Linked DNA regions of Macaca mulatta. The protein of the gene in region 2 interacts with the protein of the main gene of each other region in a biochemical or structural test. Links are inferred from orthologs where the notes say so. Each region holds a gene or a part of one and is shown on either strand. Other genes may lie near its edges.

What was found.
Region 1: the proteins of LRRK1 (region 2) and BAG5 form a complex in vitro, tested with the Homo sapiens proteins (2 studies listed by BioGRID and IntAct, with this or other methods). The link is inferred for Macaca mulatta from reciprocal best matches to the Homo sapiens genes LRRK1 and BAG5.
Region 3: the proteins of LRRK1 (region 2) and NEK1 form a complex in vitro, tested with the Homo sapiens proteins (2 studies listed by BioGRID and IntAct, with this or other methods). The link is inferred for Macaca mulatta from reciprocal best matches to the Homo sapiens genes LRRK1 and NEK1.
Region 4: the proteins of LRRK1 (region 2) and CWC15 form a complex in vitro, tested with the Homo sapiens proteins (2 studies listed by BioGRID and IntAct, with this or other methods). The link is inferred for Macaca mulatta from reciprocal best matches to the Homo sapiens genes LRRK1 and CWC15.
Region 5: the proteins of LRRK1 (region 2) and SCEL form a complex in vitro, tested with the Homo sapiens proteins (2 studies listed by BioGRID and IntAct, with this or other methods). The link is inferred for Macaca mulatta from reciprocal best matches to the Homo sapiens genes LRRK1 and SCEL.
Region 6: the proteins of LRRK1 (region 2) and CKAP2 form a complex in vitro, tested with the Homo sapiens proteins (2 studies listed by BioGRID and IntAct, with this or other methods). The link is inferred for Macaca mulatta from reciprocal best matches to the Homo sapiens genes LRRK1 and CKAP2.
Region 7: the proteins of LRRK1 (region 2) and CIMIP4 form a complex in vitro, tested with the Homo sapiens proteins (2 studies listed by BioGRID and IntAct, with this or other methods). The link is inferred for Macaca mulatta from reciprocal best matches to the Homo sapiens genes LRRK1 and CIMIP4.

What each region holds. Positions count from the first base shown.
Region 1 is NC_133412.1:176,980,185-176,984,616, forward strand, and holds the start of BAG5 (BAG family molecular chaperone regulator 5), read right to left. Parts: upstream 3,160-4,432; 5' UTR 2,512-3,159; coding exon 2,414-2,511; intron 1,705-2,413; coding exon 333-1,704; 3' UTR 1-332. Other genes in the region: COA8 (cytochrome c oxidase assembly factor 8), read left to right, coding at 3,528-3,650. UniProt on the Homo sapiens protein: Co-chaperone for HSP/HSP70 proteins. It functions as a nucleotide-exchange factor promoting the release of ADP from HSP70, thereby activating HSP70-mediated protein refolding.
Region 2 is NC_133412.1:91,426,191-91,430,141, forward strand, and holds part of LRRK1 (leucine-rich repeat serine/threonine-protein kinase 1), read left to right. Parts: intron 1-616; coding exon 617-811; intron 812-1,750; coding exon 1,751-1,902; intron 1,903-3,951.
Region 3 is NC_133410.1:178,070,457-178,074,407, forward strand, and holds part of NEK1 (serine/threonine-protein kinase Nek1), read right to left. Parts: intron 760-3,951; 5' UTR 712-759; coding exon 595-711; intron 180-594; coding exon 83-179; intron 1-82. UniProt on the Homo sapiens protein: Phosphorylates serines and threonines, but also appears to possess tyrosine kinase activity. Involved in DNA damage checkpoint control and for proper DNA damage repair.
Region 4 is NC_133419.1:95,758,691-95,762,641, forward strand, and holds part of CWC15 (spliceosome-associated protein CWC15 homolog), read right to left. Parts: coding exon 3,891-3,951; intron 3,019-3,890; coding exon 2,911-3,018; intron 1-2,910. UniProt on the Homo sapiens protein: Involved in pre-mRNA splicing as component of the spliceosome. Component of the PRP19-CDC5L complex that forms an integral part of the spliceosome and is required for activating pre-mRNA splicing.
Region 5 is NC_133422.1:72,336,731-72,341,413, reverse strand, and holds the start of SCEL (sciellin), read right to left. Parts: upstream 3,066-4,683; 5' UTR 2,831-3,065; intron 1-2,830. UniProt on the Homo sapiens protein: May function in the assembly or regulation of proteins in the cornified envelope. The LIM domain may be involved in homotypic or heterotypic associations and may function to localize sciellin to the cornified envelope.
Region 6 is NC_133422.1:31,690,436-31,694,386, forward strand, and holds part of CKAP2 (cytoskeleton-associated protein 2), read left to right. Parts: intron 1-2,794; coding exon 2,795-2,873; intron 2,874-2,956; coding exon 2,957-3,825; intron 3,826-3,951. UniProt on the Homo sapiens protein: Possesses microtubule stabilizing properties. Involved in regulating aneuploidy, cell cycling, and cell death in a p53/TP53-dependent manner.
Region 7 is NC_133415.1:14,555,546-14,559,496, reverse strand, and holds part of CIMIP4 (ciliary microtubule inner protein 4), read right to left. Parts: intron 3,028-3,951; coding exon 2,883-3,027; intron 1-2,882.

The DNA.
Region 1 (4,432 bases), about 86 Mb from region 2:
TTCTGAAATACCTGCATTTTAATGCTTGCACAACCCATTTTAAATTTACAAAAGCTGCCTCTATTTCATTTTCTGATTGAAAACACACAAAAAAAGGACAAACCAAACAAACCACACCACATCATAGAGAGAATGATCCGAATGGAAAAGTTAATGTGCTGTAATGATATTTGTCTTGCAACATCACAAGCAGCAGATACTGAATAGAATTTGCTTCAATCATAAATACTGAGACTGAAATATGCACGTATAAATCAATGAACTGAAAGCTCTCTATACATAGAAGCACATATGAAGTGCAAAACAATATCAAAAGTGAGACCTCTGGTATTTTAGTACTCCCATTCATCGGATTTCAGGTCGAGATAGCTGAGAATATTCTGGGCAAGCTTCACAGCCTGTTTCCTGGCAGCCTTACACTTCTCTTCTCCCTGCGGATCAACAGCATCCAGGGCTAGCAGCTGCTTGGTGAGCAGCTCTTCCAGCCGGATGTAGTTCTTATCGGTTCGATTTCCATCAAATGAAAGAACTTCTCCTTGGATCTCGGACAAGTTTCCAAGGACGTTCCAGACGGCTTTATGGGATGGGTGCTCCTCACAAGCAAACAGCTTTCTTTTCTCAAGGGCCTCCTTCAAGTCAATATACGTGATCAGAGTTTGCACCTCGATCACTGCTCTTCTCCTGGCTTCCCGGATGCAGGGGTTTTTTTCAAGACTTACCTCATCCAACTGTCCAATTAAACCCTGCAATTCTGTTTTGGAGCTCAGGTACAATTCAGGAGGGTTTTGTGCTTGGAGAAGTTCATTTTTTATTTCTCTCATTCTCGTGAGGACCTTTTCTATTTTTAAAATAGAATGATTCTGTCTCAGGTCAAATGCTTTAGTCGTGTCTGCTTCCTCTTCCAAATCCAGATACTTCAATAATTTGTTGATATCTTCTACTACCTCCCTCCGATAATTTCTGATTTCTGTCCGGCCGCACACATCTAGAGCATCTAGGTCAGCGATCAGCCCTGAGAGCACACAGGATAAGTGCCTGCAGGTCTCACTGTTGTTCACGCCCATCAGAAGTGCAATCAGGACCCCTCGGGCCTTGTTCACCTCACACATCACAAAGTTGATTTTGGCCACGGAAGGATGTGCATCCTCGGAAAGCGGCAGGGAAGGCTGCTTTTTCATGCAGTCTTCGATAATCTCTTGCACCGCACAGATTTTGGTTAAAGTGTGATACCTTGCTTTCCGCAAGGAGATTTTTCCTCCAGTTTTAACATGTGTCAGCCTCAGAATGATATCCTGGATGCCTTCTTCAAACTCGTCAGTTACGCAGTTGCCTCCATTATAAAATGGCACAATTTTCTCTCTAACGAGGGACTGGGCTTCCTCAAAAATGTTCTGTATTTCAATCCGGTGTGGGTGGTTTGCATTCTGCTCCAACTCTTTGAGAAGACGTTCTGTCTCCTGTGCTGCCCTCTTCCTAGCTTGCTGAATATCTCCTTTTCCTTCAGTATCTACAGAGTCTATTTCAAAAAGTTGTTTTGTTAGAATCCTCTCCAGTTTCTTGTAATTCTTGTCATCTGACAGACCACTGAAGCCGACAACTTGCTGTTCTACACTTTTTACTTCCTTTTGGATTTCCTGAAGCCTACTAATAGAAGGATGTTGGTTTCCCATATCCATACTTTTGTTGTGTTCAGTTTCACAAGCACTAAAAGATGACAAGAATAACTTATTACAGCACAAGGCTTCTGCAGAACACTAATGGTATACTAAGTCATTCTAAAATTCTCATTTTAAAAAGGCATACTTTCGAGCAGTCATCCCACCTCAGCCTCCCCAGTAGCTGGGACTACAGGCGTACACCACCACGCCCAGCTAATGTTATTATTTTTAGTAGAGACAAGTCTCACTATATTGCCCAGGCTAGTCTCAGACGATCCGCCCGCCCCCGCCTCTCAAAGTGCTGGGATTAAGGTGTGAGTCACCGTACGCCGCACAAACTATTTGGAACCGGCAGGGCACCTTTATGCAAGGTGAAACAGTAGCTCTTGTAACCTTCCGAACACTAACAGTACCCCGCCCCGCCACACAGCTATGCCTAGTTTCCAGAAACTCTAAGCAAAATAAACTGAACCAGTAGAACAAAAACCAGTGGCTCTCAGATATCCCCAAGTTCCCGCTTCTTCCCTTTGTGCACTTCCCCTCCCCACCCTTTTAGCTCCTCACACATCTTCCCTCCCAGATGTCTCCCCGAAGAGATAAAAACCCCACAGGTAAAGAAGAGCGACGGGGATTGCGCTGAAGGGCACCACCTTGGGCTTTCGAGGCCCAGCACCTCCTCAGCCCCCAACATGCTCCACTGTCTCAAAAAACTACAACCTGCGAAAATGTGGTAACTGAATAATTCATTCACTCGCCTCCCACTGAGAGTCCACAATCGCCTAATGCACGTTTCAAGCTCTTGGTTTCTATCAAACGGCTCGCTCAAGGTGGGTAACCAATGGAAACGCATCATCCATCCCCTGTGGATGTTCTGGAGGCCACGGAGGGCAGGCGGCCCGAGTTCCTTCCTCCCCGCCTCGCCCTTCCCTCTTGGCTCTTTACCCAGAAGAGGTCTGAGCTGGCTGCGATCTTGGCGTCCCGTGGCTGAGGTGGCGAGGTGGAAGATCAGCCCTTTACGGGGTGCGGCACCGGAGCTGGGCCCCCAGCTGCATCCCTCGCGCCCCTCCCGACTAGGTCTGAGCGGGGCAGCCGGTGAAGGGGCCGGCGGTGAAGGGGCTGCTACTGGCTGCAGCAGCCGCTCCGGGCGTCTCGGCCTAGGTGCCAGGGCGCGCCCGCAGGCCCTGACCTCACAATGGGCGCGCGAGGGGCCCTCGGCCCGGCCGGGGGAAGCCGGGGAAGGAGAGGAGCCAAGGCCCCGCCGGAGACACCAGAGACCAGGCCCGACCACCCCTGGACAGCGTCCGAGCCAGGGACGGGGACGGCGCCGAGACCAACTCTGCTCGGCCTGAGCCGACAGGCCGCGCTGGGGTGGGCGCTGGCAGAGAGGTGGTCCAGCGGGGAGCCCCGCGCCGACGGGGGGCCCCACTCGTCCCCCCGACGGAGGGAAAAGGCCACACGCCGCGCTTCGCTCACCTGTCCTGCCCGCGCCATCGCGCGATGCGTCGCCGACGCTTCCACGACTTCCGCAGCTCCGGCCGTCGCCCGGGCCAGCCAGCCCACGCCCCTGGCCGAACACCCCTAAACCCGGGGACACCTCCTCCGGCGTCCGCGCCTAGCCGCCGACAGCGCCAAGCCCACCGCCAGCGGCGCAGCAAGGCAACCTGGAGTGACAGCGACCAAGGAGCGGCCGCCCGGGTCAGCGGCGCGCCGCCCGCCGCTCCCGTAGCCCGTCGTACCGCGGGGAAAGCGCACGGTCGGCCGCACCGCCGCCCTCCCTCGGGCTTCGCGACCCTGCCGTAAAGCGGTCTCTCGCGCCGTCGCAATGCTGCCGTGCGCCGCGGGAGCCAGGGGGCGTGGGGGCGTGGGGCCATGGTGGCCTTGCGGGCGGGGAAGAAGAGTTTTCTCCGCGCTCTCAGCCGCTCCTTCGTCTGCCGCGGCTGTCAACTCGCTCCGGAGCGCGGCGCCGAGCGCAGGGATACGGCGCCCAGCGGCGTAAGCAAGCGCCTGGGGATATTGGGCCGGGAGGGGTGACCGGAAGGAAAGACAAACCGGGGCCTCGGGGCAGCTGCCTGCCATGCACAGCCGCCTCAGGCCTTTCTGCAGGTGCGCTCGCGTCCGATCCCGAACAGTCCCGCAGCCCCAAGGCTTCCGCGTCAGGGCTCTCGGTCGGATGGGACTGAGGGTGCCGCCGCCACGCCGGAGACTGTTGACAGCCAGAACCTTTAAGCATAAGAGTCACCTGGCAAGTTTGTAGCTATCTTATTTGTTCCCGAGAATGATGATTTTTTATATTTAAAGAGCTCTTGGCTTAGCGTGCATTTTTTTTTCGTGGTGTGTGTGTGTGTGTGTGTGTTTGTGTTTTGGCTTTGTTAAAATTATTAGAGCTTTTATTCAAGCGGTGAACACTTTATACTTTATCATCGTACTTTTGTAGCACTTCACGTTCAATAGTTGTTCTTATTTGCAAACTATGTGTGGGTATATGCATGTTACTGGCCAAAGATCCGCAAAGAATGTCTGTAGCAAGAAAGAGTGGCAAGCAATTTTTATAAGTCATACTTTTGGGAGGGATGTTTTGTTTAAAGGAGGCCTAGGCCTTGATTCCATCTGTCAGATGAAAATGTTGGCTAACGGTGTGGAATGGGCTGGAGATAAAATATTCAAGCAAAGCATGCAAATACCAAACAGGCTAATGAAGGAGGCTGGAAAACTTGGTTTAAACAATAATTAAAGAAGTGTAAAAAAGAGCTAATTAAAAATTGTTCGGGCTCCCT
Region 2 (3,951 bases):
TTTTATGAGTTGCATACACAGCACTTTTAGTACCAAGCACATCAAGCTGAGGGTATGTGTTTTCCTGCCTTGTCTTGCTACTCACGGATAAGGACCATGACCTCCTTGGAGTCCTTAATCAGTGACTAACAGCAAGTTCTCAGTATGTTTTATTGGACGGAAGGAAGGATGGATGGATGGATGGATGGATGGATGGATGGATGGATGGATGGATGGGACAATGGGCAAATGGACGATATGGTGGGAAGTCAGATGGATGGGTGGATGGAAAAGAGGAAGGATAGGAAGATAGATGGATAAATGTGCAGGACAGGTGGTCAGATGGATGGACAGATGAGAAGAATGGATAAATGTACAGGAAGACAAGCAAATGGATGGATGGATGGATGGAAAGAAGAAAGGGTAAGAAAATGGAGAGATAAATGGATAGAAGAGAAAGTGGTCAGATGGGTGGATGGATGGGTAGTTGGGAGGATGGATGGATAAATGGACAGAGGGACATGGTCAGGTGGTTGGTTGAATGTTTGTTTTCCTTGTCTAATTGTCAACCTCAGGGCCAACTAGTGAAGGCCACTGGGCCCAGGCAGGGACCTGACTTGGCTTATTCTGTGCCCAGGTAGATATGTTCTCCTATGGAATGGTGCTCTACGAGTTGCTGTCAGGACAGCGACCTGCACTGGGCCACCACCAGCTCCAGATTGCCAAGAAACTGTCCAAGGGCATCCGCCCAGTTCTGGGGCAGCCGGAGGAAGTGCAGTTCCATCGATTGCAGGCACTCATGATGGAGTGCTGGGACACTAAGCCAGAGAAGGTACTTGGGAGCACAAAGCCCAGGGCCCTGGGACCTCCTGCCATGTGGCAGAAGCTGTGGGTCCCCAGAGTATGTGTGTGTGGCTGCCCACCCGTCACAATTGGCGACCCTTCTCTGCTCATTTCTTCTAGAGGGTGATATTTGCTGCTTCTAACATATCTACTTTCATTTTCTTTGTGTGTGCATGTCACTCTTAGGAAACAAACTTCCTTTTCCTCCCCAACTTTTGTGTTACTTCACCATGCAAACAAAGTATATCAGCCCCTTTATAACAATACAGTCCCTGTGCAAGAACAGAGAGAATGTGGGTATCTCTTTCTAAAGTAACGGGGAAAAGGTTTGGTTGTGAGAATCAGAGATCATATTATAGTGTTAAGGCTAGTTTTTTGTTGGTGGTGTTTTTGTGTTTTTGGAAGAGGCTAGTAGTTTCAAGGTTAAAACTCATTTATTAAATCAAACGAGCTAGTTTAATGTATTGAGAGTAAACAGGATATTCTTTAGAAGAATGCATGTCTTTATCTGGGCATGGTGACATGGACTTATAGTCCCAGCCACTGGGGAGGCTGAGGCAGGAGGATCACTTGAGCCCAGGAGTTCAAGGCTGTGGTGCACTATGATTGCACCTGTGAGTAGGTTCTGCACTCCAGCTTGGGCAATATAGTGAGATGAAGAGTGTATGTCCTTGGCCTGGGTTGGAATACCTGGGGTTCAGCTAACCTGACCAGATGAGTTTAAATTGCCATAGCCAAGGGTGACCCAGATATCTGGATGGGTTTGCTCCTGACATCTGAAGCTGTTTTAGCCTCTTGTTTGGATCCAATCTGAACGAACAGAATCCCTCATTTCTCCCTGGTTGAAGCTGGCTGACCTCATGGGCAGAATTGGCACCAATCTGGTTGTAAGTGACCTTGCTCCCTTCTGGTGGCTCCTCTCCCTCAGCGACCGCTGGCCCTGTCGGTTGTGAGCCAGATGAAGGACCCGACCTTTGCCATCTTCATGTATGAGCTGCACTGTGGAAAGCAGACAGCTTTCTTCTCGTCCCAGGGCCAGGAGTACACCGTGGTGTTTTGGGACGGAAAAGAGGAGTCCAGGTAAGCTCCTATGGCCTGCCCTGCCCTCTTTGAATTTGGGGTGGGAGGCCACTGTGGAATTTGGGAACAGAGTCCATGTTGACCACAATGAGAATTATTTAGCAGACAGTAGGGTCCAGAACCTGGTTAGACTGCACTCAAGAAAGAGCAGGGAGAGCAGAAGAAAGTCCACACAAACAGACGTGCATGTATGGTTTTGTGGTTAAGAGACAACAGAAATGAGTAGTATCTGCCAGGGTGTCTGGGGACATGAGGGCACTGTGGCATGTGCCTACAGTCCTAGCCACTCAAGAGGCTGAGGCAGGAGAATCCCCTGAGCCCAGGAGTTCAAGTTTAGCCTGAATGACATAGCAAGACCCCATCTTTTAAAAAATTAGAAAATTTAAAAACATTTTTTAAAAGGAAATGAGACCTGTCAGCCTGGTTATGTGACTTTCTCAAGAATGTTCTGCTGCCCCAGATTGCAGAAGGGGCAACAGGGTGGGTTTAAACAAAGTTGGGGTTTTGCCAGGAGGGAGAGAGGGGCAGGGGCGGGGTGTTTTCAAGGGAGTGATACAGAGATGGACCAAGGCACCTACGTGAGGCCATAAATTCAGGGAGCACAACGGAAAGTACCAAAGGATCCTAGGTATTGCTAGAGTTAAAAAAAAATTTTTTTTAAACCTCAAGAGTTATGGTATTAGGTGGGGTGAGCTGAAAAAGTAGGAGGTGGCCGTCAGAAAAGACATGCTTGCCATGGGGTGGGTGGGAGGCACCCAGTCAGTAGTAAAGACAGCATCTGGAGTATGACCTTTGCAGAGGGTGCCTGGGGTAGAGTGGGGGAATATCACTGAGCTTGAGACATAATAAGATAAATGGAACAGACTTTGCAGTTTCTCTTAGGTCAGTCTTCGTGAGTTTGCATCAGATTTTATGCCATTAGGACTGAGTGTTGTGACACAGATGCACTCTAAGAAATGATGGTGTAAAAAAGTTTTTCTGACCAGGCCTTGTGGCTCATGCCTGTAACCCCAGCACTTTAGGAGGCCGAGGCAGGTGGATCATTTGAGTTCAGGAGTTTGAGACTGGTCTAGGAAACATGGTGAAACCTTGTCTCTACAAAAATAAATAAATAAATAAAAACATAACAAAACTTAGCTGGGAATGGTGGCGAGCACTTGTAGTCCCAGCTACTCAGGAGGCTGAAGCAGAAGGATTGCTTGAACCCAGGAGTCTGACAAGCAGAAGGATTGCTTGAACCCAGTGGGTGGTGACTGTGCCACTGCACTCCAGCCTGGGTGACAGAGTGAGACCCTGCCTCAGAAAAAAGAGAAGTTATTCTAAAACACAGCAATGGAGCATGCCTTCCTGATGGGATGTACTCTAAGGACAAAACAAAAAGCAAACATATTAATTAAACAGGTTTCAGTAATTATATTGTTGGTAGTACTGTTGTGATTGTTATTCTAAGATGCTGCTTGTGGTTGTGGAGTAAGTTAATGAGTAATTATATTGCTGTTGCTGGAAACCGTGATTTTCAGCATGGGCTAAAAGAGAAAGAGTTGTAAAGTAGGGTAAGTAAAAGCTTGCAGTTCTGAATTGATTGGATGGACTCGTGATATAGTTGAAAAAAAAATAAACACAAATTTCTCAGCTCTGCTCACTGAAAAGGCCTAAAAACAAGGACCAACCAAATGCCAGTGTGCATCCCTAGGACCTAGACTGTGCTCTCTAAGTACCAAAGTGAACCAGGGCTCATCAGAATCATGGCAGAGTCCAGGTCTGGGGCAGGAAGTGCGCCGGGAACATCTGCCACCCTAGAAGCAAGGACACCGTCAGACACTTCTGAGGGTGAATTGGAGGACCTGGAGCCAGACTGGCCCTGGGAGGCTGGGCCAGACCCTGCTCTGCTGGCCTAGAGACACACACGTGGCAGGTACCTGAGACAGTTCTGCTCAGGCCTCAGAAGACTTCCCAGAGGGAAGAGAGAGGCCTCTTCCTGTGACCTGTGAAGGTTCTTTAAAACTCACCGCTGGCCTGAAGAGAGGCTCACTCACAGGAAGGGAGGAG
Region 3 (3,951 bases), on a different chromosome or scaffold from region 2:
TATCTTTTTCCTAAGAATGTATTCACAAAAAGATTTATTAACGTCTTAGGATTTTTTAACTCTCTCGCATAATTTATCTGACCTTCAAATGATTCTCTATACTGGACAATATTTGGATGCTTCATGTTTGCCAATACTGCAACTTCTCTCCTTGATTCTTCTCTTTCTTTACTGGACATCTTAAATGGGAGGAGAAAAGAAAATAGTAAATGAAACCATTAATAAACAACCTAAAAGTCCATCAATAGGCGAGTGGTTAAAATATAATAGTATTAATACAGTTCAATCAACAAAATACAGCAAGAAGTTAAAAAGAATGAGTTGAATCTGAAAGTAGAAACATTTTAAGATGTCCAAACTAGATGAGGTTACAGAACAGCAAGTACATTTTTCTAAACACATAAATATAAGCACATATCATAGAAAAAATCTGAAAGAATATATATAGGCTATTCTGATATTAGTGGGAATAAAGGAATCTTTTGCTTTTGGTTATCAATTACCCTTTTTTTTTTTTTTTAAAGAAAATCTCTAGCAATGAGCTCTAATGTAACCAAACTATTACTCATGAAACCAAACTAAAAATATACTTACTCTTGAGATGTTAATTTCCTTGATAACATACTGTCTGCCATCTTCTGTAGATTTAACAAGAATGGCTTTTCCAAATGAACCTTCTCCAATCTTCTGTAGTCTAACATACTTCTCCATGATTCTTTTTCTAAGGCATCTTTACAGATATGCTAGACATTTAAAAAACTAACAAAAAAGATAAAGCATTTATAACATGAGAGATAAAACATTATAACAATTTCAATGTTTAATTCAAAATCTAATTCTTTAGTGATTTGCTAACATTTAAAAAAAGGATATTTAATATATTTACTAAAAGTTACACTTTATATACTGTACTAGTACAACCTAATTACATCTAAAAAGAGAAAAGAAAAAACAAACGGTGATATTTCAACTTTATAAGAAGGCTTTGGAAAGCCAAATACTGCATATACTTAACGTATAGAGAGAAAGGCAAACTTACATGAATTAATTAGTAGCATTACTTTATTTTCTCCAAAAAGAATGAAAGCCTAATAATACACTATTTCTTGAAGTTGTTTAACCAATCCCCTTTTATTCAACATTCATTTAAAATGTTTGCTATTATAGAACGATTTCAGATAGTTTTTGTACACATATTTTATTGTGTTTACGGTAAGGATTTCCTTAGGATAAATTCTGAATTCAAAGAATATGCCCATGTTACAGTATGGCTTTCAAACATATTAAGTGTCTTAACAGAAATGTCTACTAATATATATTCAGCCAGTAATGCCTGCTACTAGGTACCCTTATTAACACTGGTTATTACTATTTTTTGTATTCAGGGAGATGTTTACTGTAACGTCATTTATAATAACAAAACACTGATTATTATTTATTAAAATCTTTGAGCAGCAATAACGGGTCATAGTTAAAGAACACTAAAACTTTTAGAGTCAGAGAGCTTAGGTTTAAATCTTAGCTTTATCACTTTTCGTTATGTAAACTTATGTAAGTTACTTATCTTTATGTGCTCAGTTTGGTCATACGTAAAATGTGAATAACCATAGTACATATTTACAGAACTGGTAGAAGAATTAGTTAATTTAAGAATGTACTGAAAACAGCACTTGGCACATGTGAGCACTGTGTCACTATCTGTTACTGTTGTTACTCCTTACATCTAATGGGGAAAACGGTGTTTCATTTTTAATTTCTTTTGCTTACCAGTAAATTTGAAAAACTCTTCCACATTTATTGAACATTTTTTTCTTTTTCTTTTTCTTTCTTTCTTTTTTTTAAGACAGAGTCTTACTCTGTCACCCAGGCTGGAGTGCAGTGGCGTCATCTCAGCTCACTGCAACCTCTGCCTTCCAGGTTCCAGTGATTCTAGGATTACAGGTGTGTGCCACCACATCCAGCTAATTTTTGTATTTTTAGTAGAGATGGGGTTTCGCCATGTTGGCCAGGCTGGTCTTGAACTCCTGACCTGATCTGCTCACCTCAGCCTCCCAAAGTGCTGGGATTAGAGGTGTGAGCCACAATGCCTGGCCACATTTATTGAACATTTCTATTTTCTTCTCTTTTGAACTATTTATCCATGTTCTTTAATCATTTTATATTGGGTTAGTCTTTAATTTGTAAAAACTCCTTATGTGATGAAGCTCTTATCTGTCATAAATGATTTTCCCTTATATCCTATTTGCCTTTAGTTAAATATAAGATATTATTTTGATATAAACAAACGTATTAATCTTTTCTTTATATTTCTACTTTCAGTATCATACTTAGGCCCTTACCATACCAAAATAATCGATTAAGGTCATTAGTATCTTTAGGAATAGTAATTTAAAGAGAATGGTAGTTTCAGGAGAAGCCAGAATACAATAAGCTAGGTAGTGAAAGCTGAAAAAAGTGTGAGAAAGAGTCATTTGTGTGTGGTACAATAACGTGTACCACCTACTGGCAATATCACCCTTATTGTAGACATATATGAATTTACTATGCTAATCTGAAACTAATAAACATTTAATTCACCTAGCTTGCTCTTTTTTATTTCCATTCATAGCAGGCTTCCAATGTGTGATTCCTTTCTAGGAGAAAATAAGCTTGTCGTGAAACTCTTTTTAAATTTCTGTGGCAGTTTACCATATTTCTCATTGTAAATTTAAAAATCCCATGTTCTCATCTCATCCATCAATGCTAAATTTGTTTTTATTTTGCCTCTAAAAAATGATCCAATCTCCTTAAATGACAAACATCATATTCTGTGCCTGTAAGACCAGACCACAGGCCAGAACTCAGCCTGTGGTAGCACTGATGAGATAATTATGCCTCATGAAATTTTGTGAGAAAGAGCCTTTCTCTACCTTAGAAAACAAGAATGCCTTTAGCAATTTTAGAGAAACAAGAAAAAAACCACTATTATAGCATTTTAGCATCAGTGAGTTAAAGAATAGTTGTTCCAAATACATTTTCAAGTCCGAGTTGTGTTAACTGGCACAATATAATGGCTCTCTGGGCACCGGCCACAATTTAATGATTTCTCCAGAACATGAATGTTTAATATATTACATTACTATGCTACTTAGGAAAAAAATCAAGATAAACTCATCTTAGTAATCTAAATTTCATAAATTAAATTAAATAATAGCCATATAATGAGATTATTTCACAACCACCATTATTCTGTGACTTTTTGCCAAGAGAGGGAAAACAAAATTAGTCAATTTGGCCATTCCTTAAAATTTAGTTGCCAATTCCTTTCTAGGGACCACACTAACAAGATGGAAGCTCCAAAAGTCCCCAGTGTTGCATTCTACTGCCAACAACATTACTGAACATTGTGGTTCTAACTCTATGAAGAAGACCTACTGACCCTGTTAGTGAAGAAAGATGACTCTAATTGCCATCAAATATGTCAAATGCAGGCACTTTTCTGAACAACAAAAGACTTGTGGTAGATGACTTTCAGGAAAACAGACAAACTCTCCTTTCTTTGTAACGTCAGTGTACATTAAAGGAAGTAAAAGGGAAAGCATGAAAAAATAGATTACTTTCAGCATCTTACAATATATTTAACTGAGCTACTTCCTAGTTGTGAGACTTCTCAACTGAATAATAATTCCATAAAATTTTTCATACCAAATGAAATAAAGACAGTAACACATTGTACTATAGCCTTCCACAAAATCATAACTTATAACTGAAGGAACATAAGAATCCTGTTGACTTCAGTATTGTAACAAACTCATATTAATGTTTGCCTTTTCTACCACTCAGTTTCCAACATCACATTACAACCACAATACCAACTTTACCCACTCTATAGTGTTCTTAAGGTCTCTAATAATTACATCAATTCAATCTCTATAATACATATCTGATCTTGAAGATAAGCAACAAGGAAAA
Region 4 (3,951 bases), on a different chromosome or scaffold from region 2:
GGCTGGAGTGCAGTGGCATGATCTCGGCTTACTGCAACCTACACCTCCCAGGTTCAATTGATTCTCCCACCTCAGCCTCTAGCATGCGCCACCATGCCCGGCTAATTTTTGTATTTTTAGTAGAGATGTCATTTCACCATGTTGACCAGGCTGGTCTCGAACTCCTGACCTCATGATCCATTCACCTCAGCCTCCCAAAGTGCTGAGATTACAGGCGTGAGCCACCGCGCCCGGCCTCAGTTTCTATTTTTATACCTCCCATCCTTTATCAGTTACAACACTGTCTTTCTTCACTTTTATTTTAGCATCAACTTCTTCAAAGTCAAATCATCCTGAGTTTCCTTCTCAGAATTTGGAATATAAAATGTCTAAAATCCTTAGCTATCACTTCTAGATCTACCTGTTAACATGCTATCTTAAGCTAAATATAAATCCCATTTTGCTGTGTTTTGGGGATGACAGAAATCGATGACTTAATAGATCAAGGAAAAAGAGATGGTGTGGAAATCATTTTTTAAAAAGTTATTATTTTAATAACCTAATTTTTCATACAGATTACTGATATTCATTTCAATATTCAAATGTAAACAATGAATTTCATTTTTATGGAGAAAAATAAAAATGAAAATAGGAGGTGAGAAGATCTAACTTGTAAGGAAATAGGAAAATTCCTTTACATCACTGGTCAGAATTTAAATAAAATCAGGAACTATCCATCACAGATTAAGTACAAGTAGCTCTCTAAAAGCTATATATTTATTTGTAACAAATTATACTGATGCTTAAAGGGAAAAGATATTTCTCTGAAATACTAGAAAAATAGGAGCTTAGGTATACAATATATCCAAACTTATAATATAATGTGTATGACATACAAAGGTCATGGACATTTTATGTTTGGAATATTATTTCCTTTGGAGTTACTGAATGATTGTCACTAACAGCCCTGGGAAAAAAAGGCATAAACTCTTTCAACATTCAAACAGCAGGCATACTATGTTTCATAATATAAGCTAGTTGTCAGATGGCATGTAGGTCAAATCCTAACTACCTGTTTTTGTAGATATTTTATTGGAACATTGCCACACTCATTCGTTTATGTACTCTGTGGATGTTTTTATGCTACAACAGTGGAGGTGAGTAGGTGCGACAGAGGCTCCATGACCAGCCAGCCTAAAATATTTACTACCTGGCCCTTTACAGAAAGTGTGCTGACCCCTGACAAGGGTTAAATGGTTTGAAAAATCTTAAATTTGGGACGTGGCAAAAACCAGCCAATAGAAAGGGAAACAGGGCTAAAAGAAACTAAACTATCATTCAACTCCAAGAAATATCAACACGTTTTATTACATGAAACTCACAAAACTGCAAGGCCTTCTGTCTAAAATGCTTATCGTCCCTCAAGGTCAACCAAAAGCATTTAAATTGCTCATCTCTTTATGTGTCCAGAACTATTAGGCAAGCTAAAAGAATTTGGAACAATTGCCCTCTAGTGGTATGCAAGTGGGATTGGGAATGTTTTTATAATTCTTCGACTTAAAAACTACATGTAAAAACTATAAGCTGTTATAGGAATTATGCTGTCTTATAATACAAAACTTTGATGAGAATTGTATTTTAAAATGCCTTCCTTCTTCCAATCTGAATTCTAATCATCAAAGTCCATCCCAAATTCTACCTCTTTTCTGAATTCTTCCCTGGCCCTTCTGATTCACATGAACTCACTTCCCTAGATTCCTGGTATTGACCATGTAGTATATTTTTTTACTTTCTTTTTTAAAAACAGAACAATTCTTGCATCAAATAAAATTTTACACAGAAATCTACAAAAAAGCTGTGCTGCTCTGGTTGAAAACATCCCTACCTGAATGTCTTATAATGTGTCAAATTCAGTATGTTCAAAACAGATCTCATCAACTACCTCTTCTCTCTGTATAAATATGGCAATTCTTTTGCATTCCCTGTATTGATGTACAGCACCAACATTTACCTACAAAGTGAGGGTCCTCTCTGCTGCCACAATCAATCAGTCACTTTGTCAACTCTACCTCTTTTATTTTTTATTTTTTCCTGCTCCCCTTCCCACTTTGACCTCCTTGATAATCAGTTCTATCAGCATCTAATTACTTATCTTAATTCCAACTCCTATCATACAAGTTAAGAGTCTCTTAATTGGTAAGATTACTGAAACAGCCTCCTAACTCAGTTTTTTTCCAATCCATCCTGCGTATTTTTGCCAGAGTAATCTCTCTAAAATGCATATCCAATTTTATCAATCTCCTGCTTAAATCAACCAGCTCCTCATGTCCTTTAGAAAAAAATCTAGACTCCTTCAGCATTGTTTTGCAAATCTCTAATGCTCTGACTTGTGCTTGCCTCCTCAGTTTCACCTCTTATTATCACTCTGGGTAATTCATTAAGAGTTTTAACTATCTTTAAGTTTTATATTTTTTCCTCATATTGTGTAAACGGAGAGACTGTGGGGGCTCAGCAAAGTTAGGTAGCTTGACCTAGGTTATATAATATCTACTGACTAATTGCCTTAATAGTACCTAGGCAGGAGACAGAGAGATAATCTTTGTAGACCATGACTATATCTTGATCATCTTTGATTCTCCTGTCAATTAACAGATATTGACTAAATGTTGAACAAATGAATAAACTAGTGAATGACTAGCAAGCTGGTGAATATTACTCAATGTATCTGAACTATTGGGAAATAATTTTTAACATAACCAGAATACCTAGGATGTCACAAAAATAATAAGATTTATAGATCTACAAGTGCTATAATATTTAGACACAGTAAGGGAGATTTCTAATATAAGAAGGTATTACTTATATTCAAAAAAATTTCTACTTTAGTATATGTGAGAGGAGAGATGTAAATATTTAACACTTTGGTTTTACCTTCCTGGCCTGCTCTTCAGCTCTTTCCTTTTTAATTTTTTCCAGTTCTGCAAGAAGAGCTGCAGTATCATCATCATCACTTTCTTCTTCAAAATCTTCATCTTCTTCCTAAAAGAACAGTGAGAGCCCAGAAGATTGGAGGGAAAATATACATTACCAAAACACAGTACATATGTACAATATATCACCCTAAGAAAGTCAAAACAATTTTATGTAGCTCAAAACAACTTTAAGCTAGCAAGTAAAGATAATCAAAAGTGCAAAAAACTGCTAATTTCTCAGAAGAAAATAATTTCAAATGAATAATCATTAAATTTCACTTGAAATTAGGTTTCTTGTTTTAACTATTATGAGTAACTCCATCATTTAACTCTAGAATTAACTGCTGATATGTATACACAGGTAGATATTACTCATTGGATGCCACTCAGGTTTTTCACTGTCCTGTATGTAGAAAACTGCAAACTGATTATAGGCTCTAGGGTCCCACAGAATTTTATCATTAACTGATGTGCTAATCCTTAAAAACCTTCTGCTTAGATTACTTCCCTCACTAAGCACAGAGGGAACCATTAAGTGTACTCCACTTATAGAAAGGGGCATATCTAATGTGGAAAGGCCTCCAGGTACAACTCTAGAGGGCACTGTTTATAGGAAACCCAGTGTGAAGAGTGCCCTGTAGAGGTGTGTAACACACCATAGTGCAGTAGTTTAGTACAGGACATTATTTTGCGGGAAAGCATGTCTTTTAAGATTCCTTCCATATTTGGTTCTCTAGAGACCAAACTTGTTCTTAAAAGTCCCACAAAATAATACTTTTTGTTTTAAAATCAACTATAAAGTTTAGCACTGAGGTCAGGGTTATATTTGAATAACAGCAAGCAAATATATGTCACTTCTTAAAGCCAAAGGCATAACAAGTATTTCAGAAAAACATGGTAAATCAATTATTAGAGATGAAAGGAGAAAACAAAACATACATCTGTTAGAGGGTCATCTGCATCAAGGTTGGCAGCAGGAATCTGGTCTAACCGTGGCTTT
Region 5 (4,683 bases), on a different chromosome or scaffold from region 2:
ATAAAATTCACTCTTCCAGTTAAGTATTACAATAAAAAGATGACTCATATCCTTAAAAAATTTAGTAATCAACATGAAATGAAAGTCTAGTAAATGTAGCTGTCATTTGGCAAAGCATCCATGTAAGGAAGAGCTTCTCCCAAGCCCCAAAATCACAAGTTCGTGGAAAAATCACAGTTTACCATTTGTACAGTGGTAAGCTGGAAACACTTAAGGAATATAACTGATAAAGACTTTTGATTAAGGCCAGGTGCATTGGTTATGCCTGTAATCCCAGCACTTTGGGAGGCCGAGGCGTGTATATCACCTGAGGTCAGGAGTTCGAGACCAGCCTGGCCAATATGGTGAAACCCCGTCTCTACTAAAAATACAAAAATTAGTCAGGTGCACACGTGTAGTCCCAGCTACTCGAGAAGCTAAGGCAGGAGAATCACTTGAACATGGGAGGCGGAGGCTGCAGTGAGCCAAGATCGTGCCATTGCACTCCAGGCTGGCAAAAAGAGCGAGACTCCATCTCAAAAAAAAAAAAAAGCAACAACAAAAATGACTTTTGATTCAGAAGTGAACTTGGAACAACTCCAGCTATGTATGCAGCAATTAATATATAAAAATCTTTATTTCAAAGTCCCTAGCCAGAGCAAATGGAAAATGATCAACAAATGGTCTAGAAGCAGGATAATGACAGAAAGTGAAGCCAAGTGAAACCAATAAAGATTTCCCTTGGACTGCAGGGCCAAAGATTTGATCCCCTCACTCTTAAGAAATGGTGGGAGTTGATGCCTGAACCATATAGGATGCTCTCAGTTAAACAATGTTTGCTTAAGTTGACTGCTTAGTTCATTCCACAGTATGAGCTCAGTCATTCAAAACATATTCTTTGTTTTGTTTACATAGTCCCCAGGAATATGAACCTCTCAGGTATTTCATCATAATTCTGGTAGTCTGAGAAGGCAGTCAGGTAAGCATCACCTACAGAATGGCATTCGGGGCGAGGGTGTTCTGATTGTACAGACCACAGCTAACACACATACATCAGATCCCCTCCCTGCTGAGGGGCTACTGGATCCTGAGATGAAAATCTCATAAATATAATAAATGGCAACACTGATTCCACAAGCCACAAGTTGGAAACATATGTCTACGTCTTCCATTATGTCTTAGTCACACCATACACAGTATAATATTTCCACATATTGCTGGATAACCACAGTCTGTGATGGAGTGTGGTTCGTTTATTGCTACTACATATTTTATAATAAAAAGTATTTGAAAAAAATATTGAGAAAATTCAGTAAGACAAAAGACAAGCAATTTGGCTTCATGTTCTGGTTCTGCTACTCTGATCTTCACAAGTTACTTAACATTTATGCTTTGTTTTTCTCATCTAGAAAATTCAGGCATTAGACTAGATGGGCCTATGCTCCATTTCAGTTGAAATATTCAGTCAATTAGATCTAAGATTTACACGAAGCTAACATTCCAATAAAAATTCTGACCTGTTGTTGGCATTCTCTGTATATCCCAACATTTAGGATCATCTGAATGTTTTACTAAAATTTTTACTGTTGTCATTTCTCAGTTTTCTCAAATTGATGTTTCTGATACTTTAAACACTGGAGCACTGCAAATATTAGGAAGGCTATATCTACGTTATAAACTGTGGAAGTGAAAGACAGTTTTAAATGTAATCACATTTTATGAAAAATAAAATTACCCACACATGCTATGCTTTAGTTTTCTGGTTACTATAAACACTTGAAAGCCAAGTTATAAAATTCTTCGGTAAACCTCTGGGAAATGAGCACTGAGCACTGGTGTGCCTAAACCCCTCTCAGACTGCAGGTGACCTGGTCAGCAATAGGAAGCCATGAGAACTCAAGTACTAAAGATAGAGCCAAGTATGCTGTGGGGGCGCCTCTCTGGAGGACACAGACCTGCAATTTGCAAGCTGTGAGTGGCCCCTGCATTTGAATTCCACAGCTCTGTATCATAAATAGAAATGATTAAAAAAAAAAAAAAACACAAACCAGACAAGTCAGCTTAACTATTAATTACAAAAGAACTCTTCTATCCTTACCAAAAGTCTCCCAAAACTGGTTTTTCAGGACTAGGCTATGAATAAAGTTTGAAAATTGCCCCCATATATATTAATCACTCCTTAGGTTAGAATGCAGAATATACTGTAGAGAAGTTGGCCAGATGCCCACAGATCATATATACCCCTATTCTGCCCCCACACCCTGCCTTTACTCCTTGGTACTTTCAAGTAAGAAATGGCAATTTTCTTATTTGGGGAAGATAGGGTGGAGACAAAAACCTCATAAAAATAAACCTCTCTCTCTCATAGCTCAACAACTTGCAATATTTTTAGCAGTAGAGAAAAAATATGACTTATTAACTATAAAGCAATATTTGAGTTCACTATTTCACTAAAAGCATCATTTATGAAAACAGAAAGTTCCTTTAAAAAATGTTTGTATAGTCACTTGAGAAAATAAACCAGCAGGTGCTGGTCCCTTCGCTTAAATAATTTATTATCCTTTGTGTGGCAGGATTCACCAGCTGACAGCTCCCACCCAGAAAATCAAATAGGTGCTCATTTCTGTGATGCCCGTAATGTGTAAAGTTGCCAAGAAGTTCAATGCAATGTGGCCTAAAAGTACAGCAAGGAAGAGCAGAGCTAACAGTCAGCTGGAGGCTGTCAAAATTTATAGGAAGAAAAGACAAAGATAATACTGTAAGTTCTAATTTTAATCATTTGAAAGGAACACAGAGAAAGCTGTGCACATACAGCAGATGTATTTCTGTTTGCAAGTATAATTCAACTTACCTCTATTGAGCAGAAAACCAGGACTTTTTGGCTAACCGGCCTGTAGTGATTCCCTGGGAGGATCTGACTGAAAGAAATGGGAACCTAGAGTTTATTCAGTGGAGTCTCAACCTCTACCTGACTGTATTAATGAACAGTTCAGAGGTTTCTTTCTCAGCGGCTGAGTCACTCAGGGAGGAGGTCTGTGGTATGCAACAGGGTGTCACCTTGTACAAATACCAGTTCAATTAAAACAGTCTCACTCGTGAACCTACGGCCTTTGTTTGGTGAATTCTTTAACTTACGGCCTTGTTATGCAAATATATATATATATAGATACGCTCCTGTGATTGCCCTTTAACTGATATCAACAATATGCACAACCATATCACTGACAAGGTGGCATAGGACCCAATCTATTTTGCATTCTCTTTCAAAAAATAAAACTGAAAACTCAATAGAAGGAACCCCCATATGCCCACAGTACCTGGAAGGCAGGGGCACAGACAAGCATGCAAGGAGTACATGGCTTAAAGGAAACTTCAAGACAAACAAGTTCTCAAAAACCCAGGAACCCTAGGATCAGAAAACACGAAAGAAGTCTGTTCCAAACATTCTACACCTAGAATATTTTGTAAAACTATCAAAGGGAAAATACACCCAGCACATAAGAATTCTAATCTCTATCTTATTTATCCATGTATAAAAAAATGTGAAAAAGGGCCAGGCGTGGTGGCTCATACCTGTAATCCTAGGACTTTGGGAGGTGGAGGCAGGCGGATCACCTGAGATCAGGAGTTCAAGATCAGCCTGGCCAACATGGTAAAATCCTGTCTCTACTAAAAATACAGAAATTAGCTGGGTGTGATGGCGCACACCTGTAACCCCAGCTATATTTAATAACAGTAACATACCATGATAAAGTCATAGACAGAAATTTTCAATGCCAGGCATCGCATAGGGGAGAGAAGGAAGAACCTGGAAGGTGATGTTGATGCAGAGTTTTAAAGTCTTAGTAGACAGTGATTAGATGGTCAAGAAGAACCATTCATCCACTCTGGCAGGAGGAGGCAGGAGAATCACTTGAACCAGGGAGGTGGAGGTTACAGTGAGCCAAGATTATGTCACTGCACTCTAGCCTAGACAACAGAGTGAGACTCTCTCAGAAAAAAAAAAAAAAAAAAAATGTGAAAAGGATGGTTGAAACTTCTCTCATAACTGAGGGCAGCAGTAGACCCAATGTCAAAGGTTGCTTCTGGCCAGTTGCAGTGGCTTTCATTTGCACTTTGGGAGGCCAAGGTGGGAAGATCACTGGAGCCAAGAAGTTTGAGACAAACCGGGCAACACAGTGAGAGAGATCTCATCTCTACTGAAAATAAAATATCAGCTGGGTGTGATAGTGCATGTATTTGTTCCCAGTTACTCAGGAGGCTGAGGCAGGAGAGTCTCTTGAGCATGGAAGGACCAAGCCACAGTGAGCTGTGATCACACCACCGCATTCCAGTCTGGGTGACAGAGTGAGACCCTATCTCAATAAACAAAAAACAAAACAAACAAACAAAAACAAAGGTTGCTTCTACTGGGAGGAAGGAGTAGCACTGAAGAGCCATCCTAGGTGGGGACTCCTGTTACAGGTTTTGAAATGCAACTTCCGTAAGTGCCAAAGAGGCTTTGAGGAAGCTTAGCAAACCCAGAACATTGCTGAGAGAAGTCACGTCATCAGAACTTCCTGGGTCATCGTCACTCATATGTCACACCAGCAATGAACCAAATCCTCCCTGAACAACTGCTCCTGAAAACTACAAAGCAGCTGAGTGGTGCCCACTGAAATGACTGTAACACGAAGTAGAAACCCAGACTGGAGAGCAAGGCAA
Region 6 (3,951 bases), on a different chromosome or scaffold from region 2:
ACTGAAATAGGAAGACTGAAGGAGGAGCTGGGGAATTAGGAGTTCTGTTTTGACTATATTTGAAGTACCAACCAGACACCCAAGCAGATATGCCAAATAGTTGTGTGTCTGAAGTTCAGGGGAGGGTTTGGGACTGGAAGCATAAACTCAGGAATTGATCAGTATACAGATGATATTTACTTAAAAACCTTAGGATGGAATGAAATTACTAGGGAATAAGTAGAGATAATATGGATTCAGTCAGTGACTCTCAACCGCTTATTTAAATAGGGAATCCAACAGGGTCAGGGGTTTATAATACTCTTAAACATAATAGGAAGAAAAGAAAATTCTAAAACACTCCTTGTGGCTTAAGTACTACATTTATTCCTTTCAGAAAACATGTCAGCCGGGTGCAGTGGCTCAAACGCCTGTAATCCCAGAACTTTGGGAGGCCAAGGCGGGTGTATCACTTGAGGTCAGGAGTTCTAGACCAGCCTGGCCCACATGGTGAAACCCTGTCTCTACTAAAAATACAAAAATTAGCTGGGCATGGTGTCAGGTGCCTATAATCCCAGGGAGGGCCAAGGCAGGAGAATCGCTTGAACCCGGGAGGCGGAGGTTGCAGTGAGCCAAATCATGCCATCACACTCCAGCATGGGGGACAAGAGCGAGACTTCGTCTCAAAAAAAAAAAAAAAAGGAAAGAAAACAGATGTCAATTTAAGTGTTAATCACTTCATCAGTGAATATTAAATAAGACAGCCGACCTGTATTGCAGCTTTTCAGAATTAAACAATATTTTACAATCTCTAAAGTATAGATATCCTAAGACTCATTTCAGATAACTCTTCTGAGGGTGGTTTTATAATAAGACAGAATAGGATTAAGTCTCCACACTAGACAGGTGAGTAAGATGGGCTCTTCTTGTCATGCTGAGTTTTGTTTTGTTTTGTTAGCTAGAAGTTAGCTACTAAGATACCCTGTTAAGTGGCACATTTTTATCTTCTTTCACCATTGTTCAAAATGTATAGTACAGGGTATGTCAAAGTTCTGTACCTTCTCCAAGCTGACAGAACAAATAGATATGAAAGCAATGTAAACAAAATGTATTAACTACTAAATTATGTCAAATGTAAAATATACTTTTTTTTGTTTTTTTTGAGACGGAGCCTCGTTGTGTCGCCTAGGCTATAGTGCGGTGGTGCGATCTCAGCTCACTGCAACCTCTGCCTTCTGGGTTCAAGCGATTCTCCTGCCTCAGCCTCCAGGGTAGCTGGGATTACAAGCATTTGCCACCATGCCTGGCCAAATTTTGTGATTTTGGTAGAGACAATCACCTGCTAAGAGATGCTCACAGTCTGCCTTGGCCAGTTTATAGCTATAAAAATGAGTTAGGTCAGTTTCTTGAGGAGGGATTTTCTTTGCAATACCGCCTAGAAACTAAGGTTCTTTTTTTGAGAAATGATCTCACTCTGTCACCCAGCCTTGAGTGCAGGGATGGGATCTTGGCTCATTGCCTCAACTCCCAGGCTCAAGCAGTCCTCCCTCCCCAGCCTCCCAAGTAGCTGGGACTACAGGCACCCACCACCACACCCAACTAATTTTTTATTTTTTGTAGAGACGGGGTTTTGCTGTGTTGCCCAGGCTCTCTCGAACTCCTGAGGTCAAGTAATCCCCCCCACCTCAGCCTCCCAACGTGCTGCTATTACAGGCATGAGCCACCACAACCAGCAGTCCATATTCTTAATGTATCCTAATATACATTAAGCTGTGAATGGCATATGGTAATTTTTGAATCACTTTTGGGAGGGCTTTTTTTTATAAAAGTTTTTTCAATGTAGTACATCTGTTACTAAGTACTTAAAACTAACCCAAGGAGGTATCACTAAAGGTTATTTGAAGACTTGTTTGAATGACTTGAGAATGATTTGAAATAAGATTATTAAGTATTTACAAATTCTGTGGACAGAAAGTGTTAGGACTTTTAGAAAATATCTTTAAATTCCTCAGCCATTTGTTTACACTATTTTTTTTTTTTTTTTTTTTTTTTGAGATGGAGTCTCGCTCTGTCACCCAGGCTGGAGTGCAGTGGCGCAATCTCAGCTTACTGCGAACTCCGCCTCCGAGGTTCACGCCATTCTCCTGCCTCAGCCTCCCTAGTAGCTGGGACTACAGGCCCCCGCCACCACGCCCTGCTAATTTTTTGTATTTTTAGTAGAGACAGGGTTTCACCGTGTTAGCCAGGATGGTCTTGATCTCCTGACCTCGTGATCTGCCCACCTTGGCCTCCCAAGTGCTAGGATTACAGGCTTGAACCACTGTGCCCAACCTGTTTACACTATTAAAAATAATTAAAAGTTTTGCTTAGGGCTGGGCGTGATGGCTCACACTTGTAATCACAGCACTTTGGGAGGCCATAGTAGGCAGATCACCTCAGGTCAGAAGTTCAAGACCAGCCTGGCCAACATGGTGAAATCCTGTATCTATTAAAAATACAAAAATCAGCTGGGTGAGGTAGCATGTGCCTGTAATCCCAGCTACTCAGGAGGCTGAGGCAGGAGACCCGCTTGAAACCCGGGAGGCAGAGAGGTTGCAGTGAGCCGAGATCATGCCACTGCTCTCCAGCCTGGGTGACAGAGCAAGACTCCATCCCAAAAAAAAAAAAACTTGCTTAGGACAAATTTTAACTCAGGTCTTTATTAAATTTAAAATTAGTAAGTCAGTTAATTGTTAACATTGCCCTCTTCTTCCTCCCCAACAGGAAGCCTCCTTGGTACAGGATTGATTGATTAATCATTTTGTTTGTTTTTAAGTAGTAGAGGTCGGAGAGTTGTGACATCTGAGGACCAAGTTCAAGAAGGGGCTAAAGTGCTGAAACTTAAAACAAAAATGGTAAGATGTGGACATAGCACTCCTAAATGGTCCCCCTTTCCGTTTTGCCTTTCCTAAACACTTTTCTTAAATAATTCTTTTAGGCTGATAAAGAAAATATGAAGAGACCTGCAGAGAGCAAAAATAATACAACAGTGGAGAAAAATTGCATTCCTTTAAAACCTTCAAATGAACTAACCAATTCAACTGTAGTAATTGACACGCATAAATCTAAGGATAATAATCAGACTCCGCATTTGTTACTAACTGAAGGTGATCCCCAAAGTCAACATATGACATTAAGTCAGGCATTTCACCTTAAAAACAATGGTAAAAAGAAACAAATGACTACAGAAAAACCAAAGCAAGATGCTAACGTACCCAAGAAACCTGTGCTTGGATCTTATCGTGGCCAGATTGTTCAGTCTAAAATTAATTCATTTAGGAAACCTTTACAAGTCAAAGATGAGAGTTTTGCAGCAACAAAGAAACTTTCAGCCACTATCCCTAAGGCCACAAAGCCTCAGCCTGTAAACACCAGCAGTGTAACAGTGAAAAGTAATAGATCCTCCAATATGGCTGCCACTACTAAATTTGTGAGCACTACATCTCAGAACACACAACTTGTGCGACCTCCTATTAGAAGTCATCACAGTAATACCCAGGACACTGTGAAACAAGGCATCAGTAGAACCTCTGCCAATGTTACAATCCGGAAAGGGCCTCGTGAAAAAGAACTATTACAATCAAAAACAGCTTTATCTAGTGTCAAAACCAGTTCTTCTCAAAATATAATAAGAAATAAGACACTATCAAGATGCATAGCATCTGAAGTTGTAACCAGGCCTGTTTCATTGTCTAATGATAAACTGATGGAAAAGTCAAAGCCTGTTGACCAGCGAAGACATACTACAGGAAAAGCAACTGTTGATAGTAGATCAGCTCAGCCCAAAGAAACCTCAGAAGAGAGAAAGTAAGTAGATGTAATTTTCTTTATTGCCTTAGTTTTCAATCAAGTACTGTTTGTAGATTTGGCTTATAATTTCCTTGACTGCATTAGAATTTTCTTTCATGGTTTCTCTTCTGTTGTATGCAGCAA
Region 7 (3,951 bases), on a different chromosome or scaffold from region 2:
GGGCACATAGATGCCCAAGGAGTGCCCGAGCTCATCATCTCACTTTTTATACAGCTGGGCAAGCTGCCGAAAGTTTCCTCAAGCCTAGTTTTACTACTTTCTTAAGTGGCTAAAACTCACAAAAGCCGTCTACAGTTTTTGAAAATGAATCCCTACTTCATACTAAAAACAAAAATCAACTCCAGGTGGATTAAAGACTTAAATGTGAAAAGCAAAGCTAAATATTTTAGAAGACTGTATAAAAGATGATCTCTATGATTCAGCATAGGATAGGAGTCCCTCAGCCTGCTCCCCCAGCACCTTCTCCAACTCAGTAAATAGCCATCTCATCCTTCCAGTCGTTCAGGTCAAAAACGTTGAAATCAACCTTAATTCCTGTATCTCACCCCAAAATCTATTCATTAGCATATTCTCTTCTCTCTGCCTTATACAAATATCCAGAATCCTACTACATCAGGCCACCTTCACCATTACCTCCCTGAGCTGCTATATTGCACAATGGTGCCTTCCAGAATCGTGCAGTGCACTAGCCCAGCTTCCAGGACCAAGCCACCATCATCTGTCCCATCTGGAGTTTTGCAGCTGCCTCCTACTGGTTTCCCTGTTTCTGCCCCAGCTCCCTATGTCCATTCTCCCCATAGCAACTGGAGTGAGCCTTTAACCTGAGCCAAACAGGACCATTCTCCTGCTTAAAACCCTGGCTTGGTTTCTCATCTCACTCCGAGTAAAGACCTTCCAGCAGGCTTCACGAGCCAGTGTGTTTCCTCTGATGTCTTCTGCCTCACTCTTGTGCAGCCATACCAGTCTCACCAACCTCAAACAGCAAGCGCAAAGGCTAACCCCGGGTGGGTGGAGACAGAGAGGGACAGATGGATGGGCACACTGACAGTACTGTGCTGCAGGGTGAAGCCCTGATTCATAGTGTTTGCCAATTTCCAGAGTGTAAATACTACTAGCATAGCCAATTTTAAGACAGCATTTATGTGCCAATCAGTGCAGCGAAACAATTGCCTCCTGTGAGCTGGCTCAAGCTGCTAGGAGCTCCAGCACATCCTTGGCACAGTTCTACTTCCCAGGTGGGATGATGGGACATGGACATTTTAAAAAATAGATTATTTTACATTTAAGTAGACATTATCATACAAAGTTGTATGGAATAGCTATTTGGTGACCGATACTTGTTAAAGAGAGAACTGGAAGGCAGGATCTGGAAGGCCCAGAACAGAGAGCAAGCAGAACTGTATTCTTGCTTTCCTCCCCCAGCACCATCCCTTCTCCAAGCTCAAAGAAAAATCCAGAAAGGCTTCCAGTGGGTGTCTGGTTCCTCGGGTGACAGGGATCCGAGCCAGGTGGAAGAGGTTTGTCAGGCCTCTGGGAACACTGGAGAGGGCCTGGAGTGAGGAGAGAGGAAGGAGCCGCACCAGAAAGAGTCTCATTTTGCAATGAGGCCAAATCAGAATGTGGGGCAGAGAGAAGTCCCTGCGTGCTGTGACGGGCATCTGAGCCATCTAGAAGACCCTGGGAACAGGATCAAAGCTAGGGAAGAGACTTAGTGGTCAAGAAAAGACTATGAGGCTGTGGAGGCAGAAGGAACACCTGACTTTGAGTCCCAGACACAATGCAGACTACTAAAAGTTCTAGGGCAAATGATCTGAAATCTGCCCGTGAAATGGAGCTAACAGCACTCTCCTCATCCCAACCAAACAGAACTACAATGACCCAATGGAAACCCTCTGTAAATGTCAGATCCTCCAACCCACCCTTCCTGTCTTCCCAGGTAGCGCCACCTCCAGGCTCTGGAGAAGAAAAATGATAGCCTGACAGCTACTGAGTGCTCACGACTTGCCTTGGCCAAGCACCTTTGTGTGGCACTTCATAAAGTCCTGCCAATGACCCAGCGAGGGCCATACTCTCATTATCATCTCCACTGTACTGAGAAGGCAGTGGAGGTTTGGAGAGGTTGAGGATCCCACCTAAGGTCACACCCAGCTAGTGAGCTGAGTTTTGAACCAAAAAAACTTGATATTGTCACTGTGATCAAAGGTTCCTGGGATGGGGCTGGGGGTGGGGAGCAGCAGTCCTGGGTCTTCTACTGAGTCCTGGGCCTCCTACTGGCAAATTAAGAACCAGAGGTGGGCAGGGTACAGTGGCTCACGCCTGTAATCCCAGCACTTTGGGAGGCCGAGGTGGGTGGATCACTTGAGCCCAGGAGTTTGAGACCAGCCTGGGCAACATGATGAAACTTTGTCTCTATCAAAAATACAAAAAACAAAACAAAAAAAAAATTAGCCAGGCATGGTGGCATGCATCTGTGCTCCCAGCTACTTGTCAGGGCAGGGTTGTGGCTGAGGTGGGAGGATTGCTTGCTTGAGCGTGTGAGGTGGAGATTTCAGCGAGCCAAGACTGTGCCACTGCTCTCCAGCCTGGGCAACAGGATGAGACTTCAAAAAACACAAGAAGGGAAGGGAGGGGAGGGGAGGGGAGGGGAGGGGAGGGGAGGGGAGCGGAGGGGAGGGGAAGGGAAGACAAGGGAAGGCGGGGAGGGGAGGGCAGGGGAGGGAAAGGAAGGGAAAGGATGGGAAAGGAAAGGAAAGGAAGGGAAAGGAAGGGAAAGGAAAGGAAGAGAAGGGAAGGGAATGGAAAGGAAGGGAAGGGGCCACAGGTGTCTGGGAGCGTGAGGGGCTGACTGCCAACTGGGATGAATCATCCACACATCCAGGACAGGGGTCTGGATGCTCCCAGCACTCGCAAGCTGACATAGAGGACACATGGGCATGAAATAAGTGTCCTTGGAGATGTGCCCTGGGGTAAAGGCCTTCCCTGCCCCATGCCTGGGAGACCATGGGTGTTCCCGGTCCCACCCTTTTCCCCTTTGACTTGACCTTGAAACAAGTTTGACCGCATGTTGTAGCCGAGATCATAGTAGTCTGAGAAGACGGAGGAGATTTCCACAGGATTCGGGGTCCTGCTGGGCCATGAGCTTGCCTTCTTCTGGCCCTCGAAGGCTTCCTCAATAGCCCTTTGAGCCTGAGCAGAGAGGCAGGGACAACAGACCGGGGATGGGAAAGCAGTGTCAAGCCCCATATCTCCCTCCAACCCCTCCTCCCTTGACCCTGCCCTCCCCACCATGATCCCACCTTCAGCCTGCAGCCCTCAACCTGTTCACAGGGCTGGGGAGCTGGAGTATACAAAGGCCCCAGCCCCAACCCCTCTCAGCTGCACTGCCATGGGTGGGGGGCATCAGGTTAACTATCATAAAACCTCTTCCAAGCATTAAGCACCTGCTACATGCAACACTGGGGTGGGGGGTCTCTATAGGGTGCCACTCTTCCCACCATTTTATAAATGAGGAAAGCGGGCCTCTGGAGGCCCGAGATCACCCAATTCACATGGCTGGCAGGCCACAGAGCCCTGGCTTGCCTCCTACAACTGAGGCATCACGCAGGGCAGCTCTGGGTGGGTGCTTAGCTTTCAACAAGGCCAACTCCCTCTTCATACCAACAGGGAAACTGACACGCAGAGAAGCTGAGCCCAGGCCCAGGGGCAGAACACCTGGGTTTGAGTTCCAATTCTGCAATATATCAGCTGCTGACTTCGGCAAGCCTCTTCTCCGCTCTAGGCCTCAGTTTCCCTACATGTAAAATGTGAAGGCAGGGTGGAACTGGATGCTCTTTGAAGTGGCTTCCAGCTCTGACACTTGCTGGCTCAATGACACTTGTGACATAAGTTACAGGTGGGCAGAAAACACAGATTTCTTGATTCCAGCCAGGGACAATGGTGGCTGAAGAAAAAAAGGACATGTCCCAAGGCTGGGCAGGGTGGTGAGAGGTAGTGGCCATAGAGTCAACCTCAAATTGGGACAAGTTCCTCCAAGTGGGGCAGAACATGTCAAGATTGTGACCTTCCAGACTTGCTGGTGGTGGGGTCACCGCACTTTAAGATGACAGAGTG